3 linked regions of the Cricetulus griseus genome follow. The protein of the gene in region 3 interacts with the protein of the main gene of each other region in a biochemical or structural test. Links are inferred from orthologs where the notes say so. Each region holds a gene or a part of one and is shown on either strand. Other genes may lie near its edges.

Region 1 (2,641 bases), on a different chromosome or scaffold from region 3:
CTCCAGCTGCAATCTGAGAAGGAGCAAAGTGCACCATGTCATAGTCCAACATAGTGAGCTCCATGAGGTATTTGGCCAAAGTATGCTGTTCAACGTCAACCTGAAACAGATCCACATACATACCACTGAGCGTCTTTTGCAGTTTTGCTTTTGCGCTAACTTACAAAGCCCGATCTGTGACTACAAACTCTCAAATACAATGGTCCACAGAAGGCTTTAAGAGTAACCATATAATATCCAACCTGATTAGAAATAATAACAGCCATATCCTTCTCCCATGTACTTATATATCTACCGTATTCTCTAATATAGCAAAATAAAAATTTCAAGTAATGTGTACCTCTCCAATCTTAGAGGCTCTACGGAGGAAGTGCAGAGGCAGAGGGCGACCCAAACTGAAGTTTAGAACTCTTAGAATCTTCATTTCCATCTGTCTGATTTGGTGCTTAGTGTAAGTATTATTAGTCACAAAAGCGAAGTCACCTATTTCTGGAGGGTACATTTCTTCATATTTGCTTGCAATAAACATGGCAGTCACACCAACTAGCTGCAGCATCTTCTTGGGTACACAGTTATCCTGCAATTGAAATGTCAATGAACATGTACTTGAACATCTCAACTGGTGGCACCTTATCTCCCTGTAAAGACAGATACCTGCCTACCATGTAATGGGACCCTGGGTTTGACTGTCAGTGTCCACTCCCCCCTCCTCCAAGAGTCTTCTAGAACCCGGGAATGAAGAACTCTCATTACTTAATTACACATACCTGCATGAACCGGTCAATAATGGAAACAGTCATGTACATAGTCTCTTGCAGCAGCCTAAATTTCATTTGAACCTGTATCAGCCAGTCAATTAGGATGGCTCTCATGTTTCCAGTGACTTCACGGCCCAGTAGATATCTTGGTCTAACTGATTGTTCTTCCTGCAAAAGAAAAATGTCATTTATCCTGGAAGCATCACTCTATACGCCATTTGTGACCACAAAGACCAATTAACTAATATAAAACAGCTCCATGGCAAAGCTTTATTAAGAAAGCAAGGATTAAAATAGCATGACAGGCTTTTCATATTAAGATATTGTGACATTCAATTAACCAGTGGAAAGCAGGCCCACACTTACACCTGTCATAATCTCAGATCAATATCGATTTTACTAATTTCACTTTGTGATATAGAAAAAATTAATCACTAAGTTATATATCAGCTAGAATTTAGCTGATCTTCCAGAGGTCCTGAGTTCAATTCCCAGCATGCTAGCTCAACCATCTATAATGAGATCTAGTGCCCTCTTCTGGCCTGCGGGCATACATGCAGGCAGAACACTATGTATATGTACAAATATAAAAAAGAGAGAATAAGGAATTAAGAACAACTATGTTTAACTACCAAATTCAGTTCTGCAGTTAGGATACAACAAAAAAAACCTTTTAGTATTGACAAGAATTACAAAGTAGACAGCAAGCTTGGACAGATAATCCTATTGAGGACTACTTTAGGAAATATAAATTACGTCAAAAGGAATGGCAGCAAAATGGTTGACTCTTAAGTCAATCCCACCCATTTAAAGGTGGAAGGAAAACCAATTCTTGAAAGTTGTCCTCTGAGCCCCCCATATGCACCCTGTCACAAAGGATAAGAGACTGAGTAAATGAGTGGTAACTGAAGCAGACAGCGCGCTGGAGATATAGTTCAGTGGTAAAGCACCTCTTAGCATGCACAAAGTGCTGTATTTTGTTCCTAGGATTGGAGGTGGCAAATCTGATAAAACTACATTAAAGAACTGTCTTGTTTAAAGAGGTGAAAGCGTTAATGTCCTTAATATCCAACTGGGCTAAGTTGACAAAACCAACCACTTCAATTTTTTGAGTGTGCTCCTTTTGGGCACAAGTAATAGTTTTCCTGCCAAGCACAAGCACACTGACCAAAAAAAAAAAAAAAATCAGAAAAAACCCTTGTGTTGGGACAGCTATAAGTTCTTTAGCATCTTTATCTACCTCCTCCTCCAACCACAAGTTTGGGACTTTCCCCATGTGTGATGTGTGTGTCTACTTTAGGAAGAGTCATAATAGTATCTCCCCAACACAGAAATTCTGTATTCAACGTGACAAATCCACCCCACGGAGTTAGTGACTTTATTTCCATTTCAAAACAGAATTTCAAGTGTTATCTATTGTCAAGAAATGTCAAATGTGCTGTTGATAAAAATCTTTAATTGCTGAGTTAGTGGTGCACAACTTTTTGAGACCAGCCTGGTCTACAGTCAGTTCCAGGACAGTCAGGGGTACACAGGGAAGCCTGGACTCATAAAAACCAAAAGAAAAACAGTTCCTTAATAAACCTAGCTGAATTCAGTAAAATCGTATTGTAACAACAATACTGACCTCCAGCTGTCTGAGATAAGCATATATGTCTTTCACATATTCACTACAGAGGTTTGGATCAGCGCCATCATCTGCATCCACATCGCTCACGGCAAGAATTACATCAGAGAAAGCCTGACACAGGTATTCTTCTGCAGGGGCACATCCAGATGTTTCCATTGGGCTTGGAGAGGGATTATCAACCTTAAAAAAGAGAGACCCCATCAAACAAAGAGAAGCACATGCTACAGTCCAGGAAGGAAGGTCAGTATTGGTA
Region 2 (3,656 bases), on a different chromosome or scaffold from region 3:
CAAAAAACAACATAAAATAACAACAACTAGTCCATGGCAAAAATAGAATAGACATCAATTCTATCATATTCAATTCCTGTCTCCTTCCTCCTTGACTTGTACTCCATAGCTAAATGAAGCCTTGTTTTCACCGTGAGTAATCAGGCTTAGTGATTCAATCTCTCAAACAAATTATTTCTGATTTAACTCAGTAATTCTCCCCACCAGGAATATAACTAAATGAAAGGACAGCCTGAGATTTAACATCACTTAACTAACATCTTTTATATTTATGGAAAGCTAGCAAGTTTATATTTATTAATACAATGAGCCCAAAAATCCAAGCTGCGATAGATTTCTTCTGACAGTAAGGTTCAAGATCAAAAAATAGTAGCCACTTAGCTAAGTCTCTGGCTTTTCTTTTCCTTTTTTGAGGCATTCTCTCACTCTCTACCCCAACCTGGCTTTGAACTCACAGCAATCCTCCTGCCTCAGCTGCCCAAGTACTACGTTTGCAGGCAGGTACTATTACATCCAGTCTAGCTTCTGACTTGAGACTAAATACTGTGAAGTTTCCCAATATTTTTCAACATCACTTCAAATCCAACAAGTCAGAGAGAATTGTTAATATAGTGCTACCATGTGAAATAGTGACTCTGCTTTCTCTTCACATCATATAAATCTTTTCGCCTTTTACCATGTGCAATAATGTTACCATGTGCAAAAACTGTATCTGAGCTCTCTGGAGACTGAGAAAAAGGAAAATTTACCTCGAGCAGGACTAGTTCTTTTAGGGAAATCCACTGTATCATTTGCTGGATCCTCTGTGGGCTTTTTCCCTATAAAAATGGGAGAAGGGTAGAGAGAATTCAGTAAAGAATTTTTAAAAGAAGGAAAGATTTCACCTCAGTTTTTCATCCTTCAGTCAGAATTTTCAGATCAGAGATGCAGCATCAAAAGAGGCAAAAGAAGGAAACCCCACACATACCTGTCCAAATAGGGTGGTGCAGAACAAGGACCAAAATCAGGCAATAGATTGTTACAAAAAGGATAACCACTCTTGCTACTAAGAAAGAGTTCTTATAATGGAGACTGCTATCCAGAAACAGCAGGTCAAAACCATAACCCAGAAGAGCTAAAACTTATTTCAATGCTTTTCCTCAACTAAAATTTTCCTACATGCATCCACAGGGAAGGGTTAGACAAGGAAATATTAGGGAAGGTAAAAACCAAAACATGCAAATTAGAAGGAGATAAGCGCCTTAAAAGATTGCACTCACCTCTGGAGAACCACTCATCTTCCAGTGCATCACCAAGGTGGAAAGCGAGGAGAGAAATGAAGGAAGAAAACGCAGGAGAAAGATGTCAACAGGATCATGGGCAAGTACACAAGAAAGCAGAGGAACAGGAGGAATAGGGAGGAAGGCCCCAGATTAGTTGAGTTCTTGTCTTTCAATACCCCATTTGCCAATACACTAACAACCATCACCACCATCACCATCACCACCGTCAAAGCATCCAGAACAAGGGGAGCAGCAGCAGAGCAAAAAAGGACAAGTCTCCACCAGGTAGACTTCCCGACTATTTGTAAGTCCTAAAAAGCTAAGTGGTCCCTCCCTGTCCCCCACATTAAAGAACAGGAACTAAGACTTACCTTTGCCCTTCTTGGCCCCAAAGCAACTGGCAGCATGTGGCCCAGTACTATTAGCCACACTGGGAAGTGCCTCTTGGTAGCGTTCAGCCTGTGGGATTTCTCGATGAACTTGATATGATAAGTTCCGAAGGAGGCAAACACAGTTCTCCACAAGCTTAGGGACACAAAACAAAAGGCCCAATTGGAAAAGACAATGTTTGTGGTGATTTCCAGGAAATCCTGTCTCCATAATTTGAATATTAAAGTATCAACCCTAAAATGCATAATTCAATCCATCTTCTCTCAGGTTGCTTTCTCAGTGCCCTAGGCTCCTCAAAATCCTTGTTATCTTCATGCTAACAGAAGAACTAACTACAGACATATAATGGCTTCTGAAACTATTTAATGATGTGACATTTAGGTCATTGTTTTCCCTACTTAGAAAACGTATAACCTAGGAAGCTACTGAGCAGCTTTAATATATATGGGAGAAGGAGAAGGGGTAAAGTCATTCACAGCACCTGCTGCACAACAAGCCAGGCATGATCTTGAATGTACCAATGTACCTGTAAACCCAGTGCTATAGGAACAGAGACGGGATTGCTGAAGTATATTTATTGCTAGTCTAGCCAAAGAATACAACCTCAAGGTGAGACCTTGCCTAAAACGAATAGGGTGAAGAGTACCTGAGTGACAAAGGACACCAATGTTTTCCTGGCCTGTGCTCTTGTGCACTTGCACTGAAGTACACATACACACACACACACACACACACACACACACACACACACACACACACACACACACAAAATACAGACACTTTGCTTCTTCTAAACTCAATGCCCATTTTAAGGAGAAGGGGTTGGTATTTTATATTATCTGATAGCCTGAAGTGGAAGATCTGAACCACGGTTACCTTGTTAACAAAATTCACTCAGTCATTAACTTACCTTGCTGTCTGAATCCTTCTGTCCAATTTCTGCCTGAACAATGAAAATGAGGGCATCAACTAAGCCATCACATTCCCGAAGTTTCCGGCGAGCTTCACTCCTCTCTGAGCTTACATTTCTAAGGGAAAACACAAAGTTCTGAAGATGACTCAAGTCCCTGATGCCCTCTTTGATATCTTTCTTCATCTACATCTAAAGCTTCCTTAAAACCTTTTCTATTCATTACAAATAAACAGTTCATACCTATTAAAAGCAAGGCATTACAGTTGGAAACTGACTGATTGTCTTCTAAACTTTTCATTAGCTTGTGGAATCAGGCTGAAAATGTATACCAGGGGCTGGAATGGGGAGACAATCCCAATAACCAGCACAACATGGTAGTTCAAGCCCCAGAAGACCTGACACCCTCTTCAGGCCTCCTCAGGCACCAGATACACATGTGGTACACAGAAAAATATGCAGACGAGACACCCATACACATAATAAGTATGTTTTAAAATGTATACCACAGCTCAAAATGGTAGTCCACACTTGCAATGCTAGCACTTGGGAGGCAGCAGCAGGAAGATCAAGAGTTTGAGGCCAGAGTGGACTTATTAGAAAGCAAAACCCTATCCACTACCTCCACCACCACACCCAAGCATATGTGCACTGCAGGCGTGAGCCCATGTGCATTCCTGTGCGAATGAACATCAGCAGTAGAGATATAGCTAAGTGGTAGAGAGCTCACCCAAGCATATACAAGGCAATAGGTCCAAATACCCAGCACCACAAAATGGTGGTTTGTGAGAGGGCATACCAACATCAATGAATTCAGACGGAAGCATCATTTATTTTACAGAAGTACAAATATAGGGAATGATAAGGTGCCTGATTTGAAATATGGATAACTGAGACAGCAACTAACACACACACACAAGTCCAGAACCAGATAAGAACCTTGTATGTGGGAGGTTCTAAGCAGGTATTTACTTAACTAGAAGAATAAAGTCAAAGAGGAATAAAAGTGACGAGAATGGGAGGAGGAAGGAAGGGAATAAACACACGAATGAGCAGGTAAACATGGTGCACACAAGAAAGCAGCAAAAGCAGGT
Region 3 (3,756 bases):
ACTGCTGTTTCAGAGAGTCATCCCCATAATACTGCTATGGAGCACAGAACCCTATAATCTCAGTGGTACACAAGAAGTCAGGTGTCTTCCCTCAGACACTCTTGTGTTCTCTGAAGTGTATGTTGCTTACATTGAAGCTTACAAAATCTGTAAATCAGTGAAAATTCAACTAATCCAAGCAGAGTTTTGCTGAAAGACCCTAAGCCACCCTTGTGTCCAGTCTGCTGCACAGGAGCCTAATCTGGGTTCCAGTAGGCATGCATCACTTGCTATCTTGTTACCTGAAGCCCCTCACCTGACAGAGTCTATTGTTAACAGGCCAGATACTACTTGCATCAGCTATGGTGGGGGAGGACTGAGTAAAATTTGCCAAGTAATAACCCCATAGTCATGTCCTGTAAAATGAGTAAGACATAACAGTTTGCACTCATAGAATCCCCTAGTGCTCTCTCTCTTTTTTTTTTTTTTTTTCAGTGTCAGTTAGGAGACGCTTAATTTGGAAACTGCCATTTCATATGCTTTTGGGCACACATTGGCCAATACCACACAGTAGGTAGTTTTAGCTTTGTCCAATGGCACAGTCTGTGATTCCATGAAGCAGACAAGCCCCGCCTATGCACCTACTGCTTTTTCACTTGTCAGCATGTTTCTGCTCTTCTCTCTAGGATTATGATTTGAGCCAGTTGCACAGGGGCCTGGATGCTCGACCTGAAGTGACTCGAAATGATGTTGCTCCCACTCTCCTGAGTGTGCCCCAGTATCGTCCCCGCCCAGCTAATCCTGATGAAATTGGGAACTTCATCGATGAAGTAAGTAGGCATCTCTTAACTTGGGAACTAAGGAGAAAAACATTCCAATGAGGAGAACCTTCGAATTCTTGCCTTATGGTGTCTATTTGTCCAGATCCTTGAGACAAAACCAAGATCTACTTGCAAAGCTTGAGTAGACTTAGTTTGATTTCATGAATGAGTCCCCTACATTCATTACAGCTGCTTGGGATAACATCTTGGGGAGCCTGGGGCAATAGCATCTTTTGAGCAAGACTGAGGACCAGAGTTTGGATCTGAAGCACCAACATAAATGCTGCGTGGGCATGGCAGCCTCCTTTTATTCTAGTGTCCAGGTTAGATCATCCAGAATCAGCAAGCTGTAGGTTCAGTTGTCTCAGGGAATACAGTGAAGATGATGTTGATGTCCCTACAAAGATCTTGCTTGGGCCTTCACGTGCACATGTGCACACACATGTAAACACAATCACAGGACGTGCACAAATGTATCCCAGTTTACCTAAGGCCCATAAAAATAGCATCCATCATGTAACATATCCATATGTTATTGTACATGTAGGAAGTATGTTCAGCTCTAACCAAAAAGCTTAAGCAGACAGTAGGAGATGCACTTTGTGCCTATGGAAGGCTGGGCTCAGCAGTCTTCTCTGTTGGATATAGAGCCTTTCTGCTCCATTATCTTGGCATCTTAGTTACTTTTCTATTGCTGTGCTGAGACACCATGACCAAGGCAACTTACAGAAGAAAGAGTCTAATGTAGAGCTCCAGAGGGTTAGAGTCCATGACTATCATGGCAGGGGACATGGCAGCAGGCATGCTTGGCTGGAGCAGTAGCTGAGGGCTCATATTTTGATCCACAAGCTGGAGGCAGAAAGAGAGACAGAGACAAAGTGAGCTAATTGGAAATGCCTGGACTTTTAAAACCCCAAATCCTGTTCTTGGTGACACACTTCCTCCAACAAGGCCATACCTCCTACTCCTTCCAAACAGTTCTACCTGAGGACCAAGTATTCAAAGATGATATAACCCTAGCTGGCTTTGGACTCCCTATGTATACCAGGCTGGCTTTGAACTATGTAGCAGAGTGTCTTGGTTAGGGTTTCTATTGCTATAAAGAGATTAGAGATTTTTTTGGAGACAAGGTTTCTCTGTGTAACCCGGGTTGTCCCGAAACTTTCTTTGTAGATCAGGCTGGCTCTGACCTCACAGAGATCCTCCTCTGCTTCTTGAGTGCTGGGGATTAAAGGCGTGCTCCACCATGCCCAGCGCAAGGCAACTCTTAAAAGGGAAAACATTTAATTGGGGCTAGTTTTGAGTTCAGAGATTTAGGTAATCATGGCAGGTGTCACACAGGCAGACATGGTCCTGGAGAAGGAGCTGAGAGTTCTACATCTTGATCCTAAGGTAGCAGAAATAGTCTGTGTCCCACGTTGGGCATAGCTTGAGCATAGGAGACCTTAAAGCCTGTCCTACACAGTGACACACTTCCTCCAACAAGGTCACACCTACTCCAACAAAGCCACACCTGCTAATAGTGCCACTCCCTATGGGCCTATGGGGGCAATTTTCATTCAAACCACCACACAGAGGATGACTTTAAATTCCTGATCCTTCAATTTGCCTTTCAGGGTTAACATTTAGCAATGATAGTTTGGCGTCCATCCTTGAGGACCTTCTGGGCTGAACTGTTATCTCTATGGGCTAGTCTGATCACTCATTGTTTTTAGCCTCTGTCTATACTCATTGGTGATAGGAGGTCCTTACTCTCATTTCTGGGGACCCCCATCCTGACATGCAGCTAGCTGTCCATCTCTCCCTGCTGACGTCGTATAGCTTAACAACCCTGTTTAGGGAAAGCATCCTGTGGCTTGTTCTTCTGTGTTGAAGTGTATGCCTAACTGCTCACTGGTTGCCTTTTCATGTTTTGGGTGTTGCTTACCTCAGACACACAATAATAAATATGGTGCTCTTCCCTTTAGAATCTGAAGGCAGCCGACAGCGACCCCACAGCACCTCCTTACGACTCTCTGTTGGTGTTTGACTATGAGGGGAGCGGTTCCGAAGCTGCTAGCCTGAGCTCACTTAACTCCTCTGAGTCGGATCAGGACCAGGACTACGACTATCTGAACGAGTGGGGCAACCGCTTTAAGAAGCTGGCTGATATGTATGGTGGCGGCGAGGATGACTAGGGGACTAGAGAGGAGTCCCTGGGAGATGCAGAATAATGTTGCCTTTCAGATTCTTCCTTGAGTTTCTAAGAGAGAGACTTACCCAAGATGCAGTTTGCATCCCATTCTACCAGTCTACTGTGTGTTAGGTTGTCACCTATTCTCAAAATCGGTTTTTTATTTTTACAGTGCTAGGATTTAAACTCTTCCACTGAGTTATATAGGCTTAACCTCTCCTTCTTTATTTTTAATTTTTTAAAATTTTAATTCCCCCCCCCCCCCCCCGTGGATGAGGCTGAATCTGGGACTTTACAGTGTGAGATAAGCACTCTTGTTACTGAGCTGTAGCCCCAGTTCAAATCTTTTATTTCAAAATGGCAGTTTCAGTCTCAGAAGGCTCAGCTAGCACTGGAAGTTTTCCTTTATGTTCAAGAGGCAGGGGAGGGTGTCTGCCCTACTTCTGTGTCACTGTGTATAGGAAATGGTTTGTTTTTGTTTTTGAGCTAGGGATCTAGTCAAGTGTCGTGTCCCCAAGCCCTTCACCCCACACTAAGACTTTTAAATTGTGTACTTTCCCACAATTTCTACATTTGTGTTCTGTATTCTAATACGCACTTATGCTCCTGAATTCTGTTGCCCTGCCCAGGTGCTTTTCTATGATGCAGAAATGACTGGGTCCTTTTCTGGTAACAGACAGGTGTCTTGGTGTGGGTGCAACTGAACTGGATATTGTGTGTTTCAAAGACCTTTCACGGGTTTCCTTCCTTACCTCTGGAGCACTCACTTGAAATGGGCATTCC

What was found. The genes of interacting proteins can lie anywhere in the genome.
Region 1: of the proteins of Cdh1 (region 3) and Ccnb1, one has a biochemical effect on the other in vitro, tested with the Homo sapiens proteins (3 studies listed by BioGRID). The link is inferred for Cricetulus griseus from reciprocal best matches to the Homo sapiens genes CDH1 and CCNB1.
Region 2: the proteins of Cdh1 (region 3) and Ctnnd1 form a complex in vitro, tested with the Homo sapiens proteins (5 studies listed by BioGRID and IntAct, with this or other methods). The link is inferred for Cricetulus griseus from reciprocal best matches to the Homo sapiens genes CDH1 and CTNND1.

The regions. Positions count from the first base shown.
Region 1 is NC_048595.1:319,289,372-319,292,012, forward strand, and holds part of Ccnb1 (G2/mitotic-specific cyclin-B1), read right to left. Parts: intron 2,569-2,641; coding exon 2,386-2,568; intron 927-2,385; coding exon 768-926; intron 578-767; coding exon 341-577; intron 101-340; coding exon 1-100. UniProt on the Homo sapiens protein: Essential for the control of the cell cycle at the G2/M (mitosis) transition.
Region 2 is NC_048599.1:90,922,772-90,926,427, reverse strand, and holds part of Ctnnd1 (catenin delta-1), read right to left. Parts: intron 2,681-3,656; coding exon 2,563-2,680; intron 1,788-2,562; coding exon 1,634-1,787; intron 1,278-1,633; coding exon 1,260-1,277; intron 819-1,259; coding exon 750-818; intron 1-749. UniProt on the Homo sapiens protein: Key regulator of cell-cell adhesion that associates with and regulates the cell adhesion properties of both C-, E- and N-cadherins, being critical for their surface stability.
Region 3 is NC_048596.1:182,982,065-182,985,820, forward strand, and holds the end of Cdh1 (cadherin-1), read left to right. Parts: intron 1-665; coding exon 666-809; intron 810-2,767; coding exon 2,768-2,977; 3' UTR 2,978-3,179; downstream 3,180-3,756.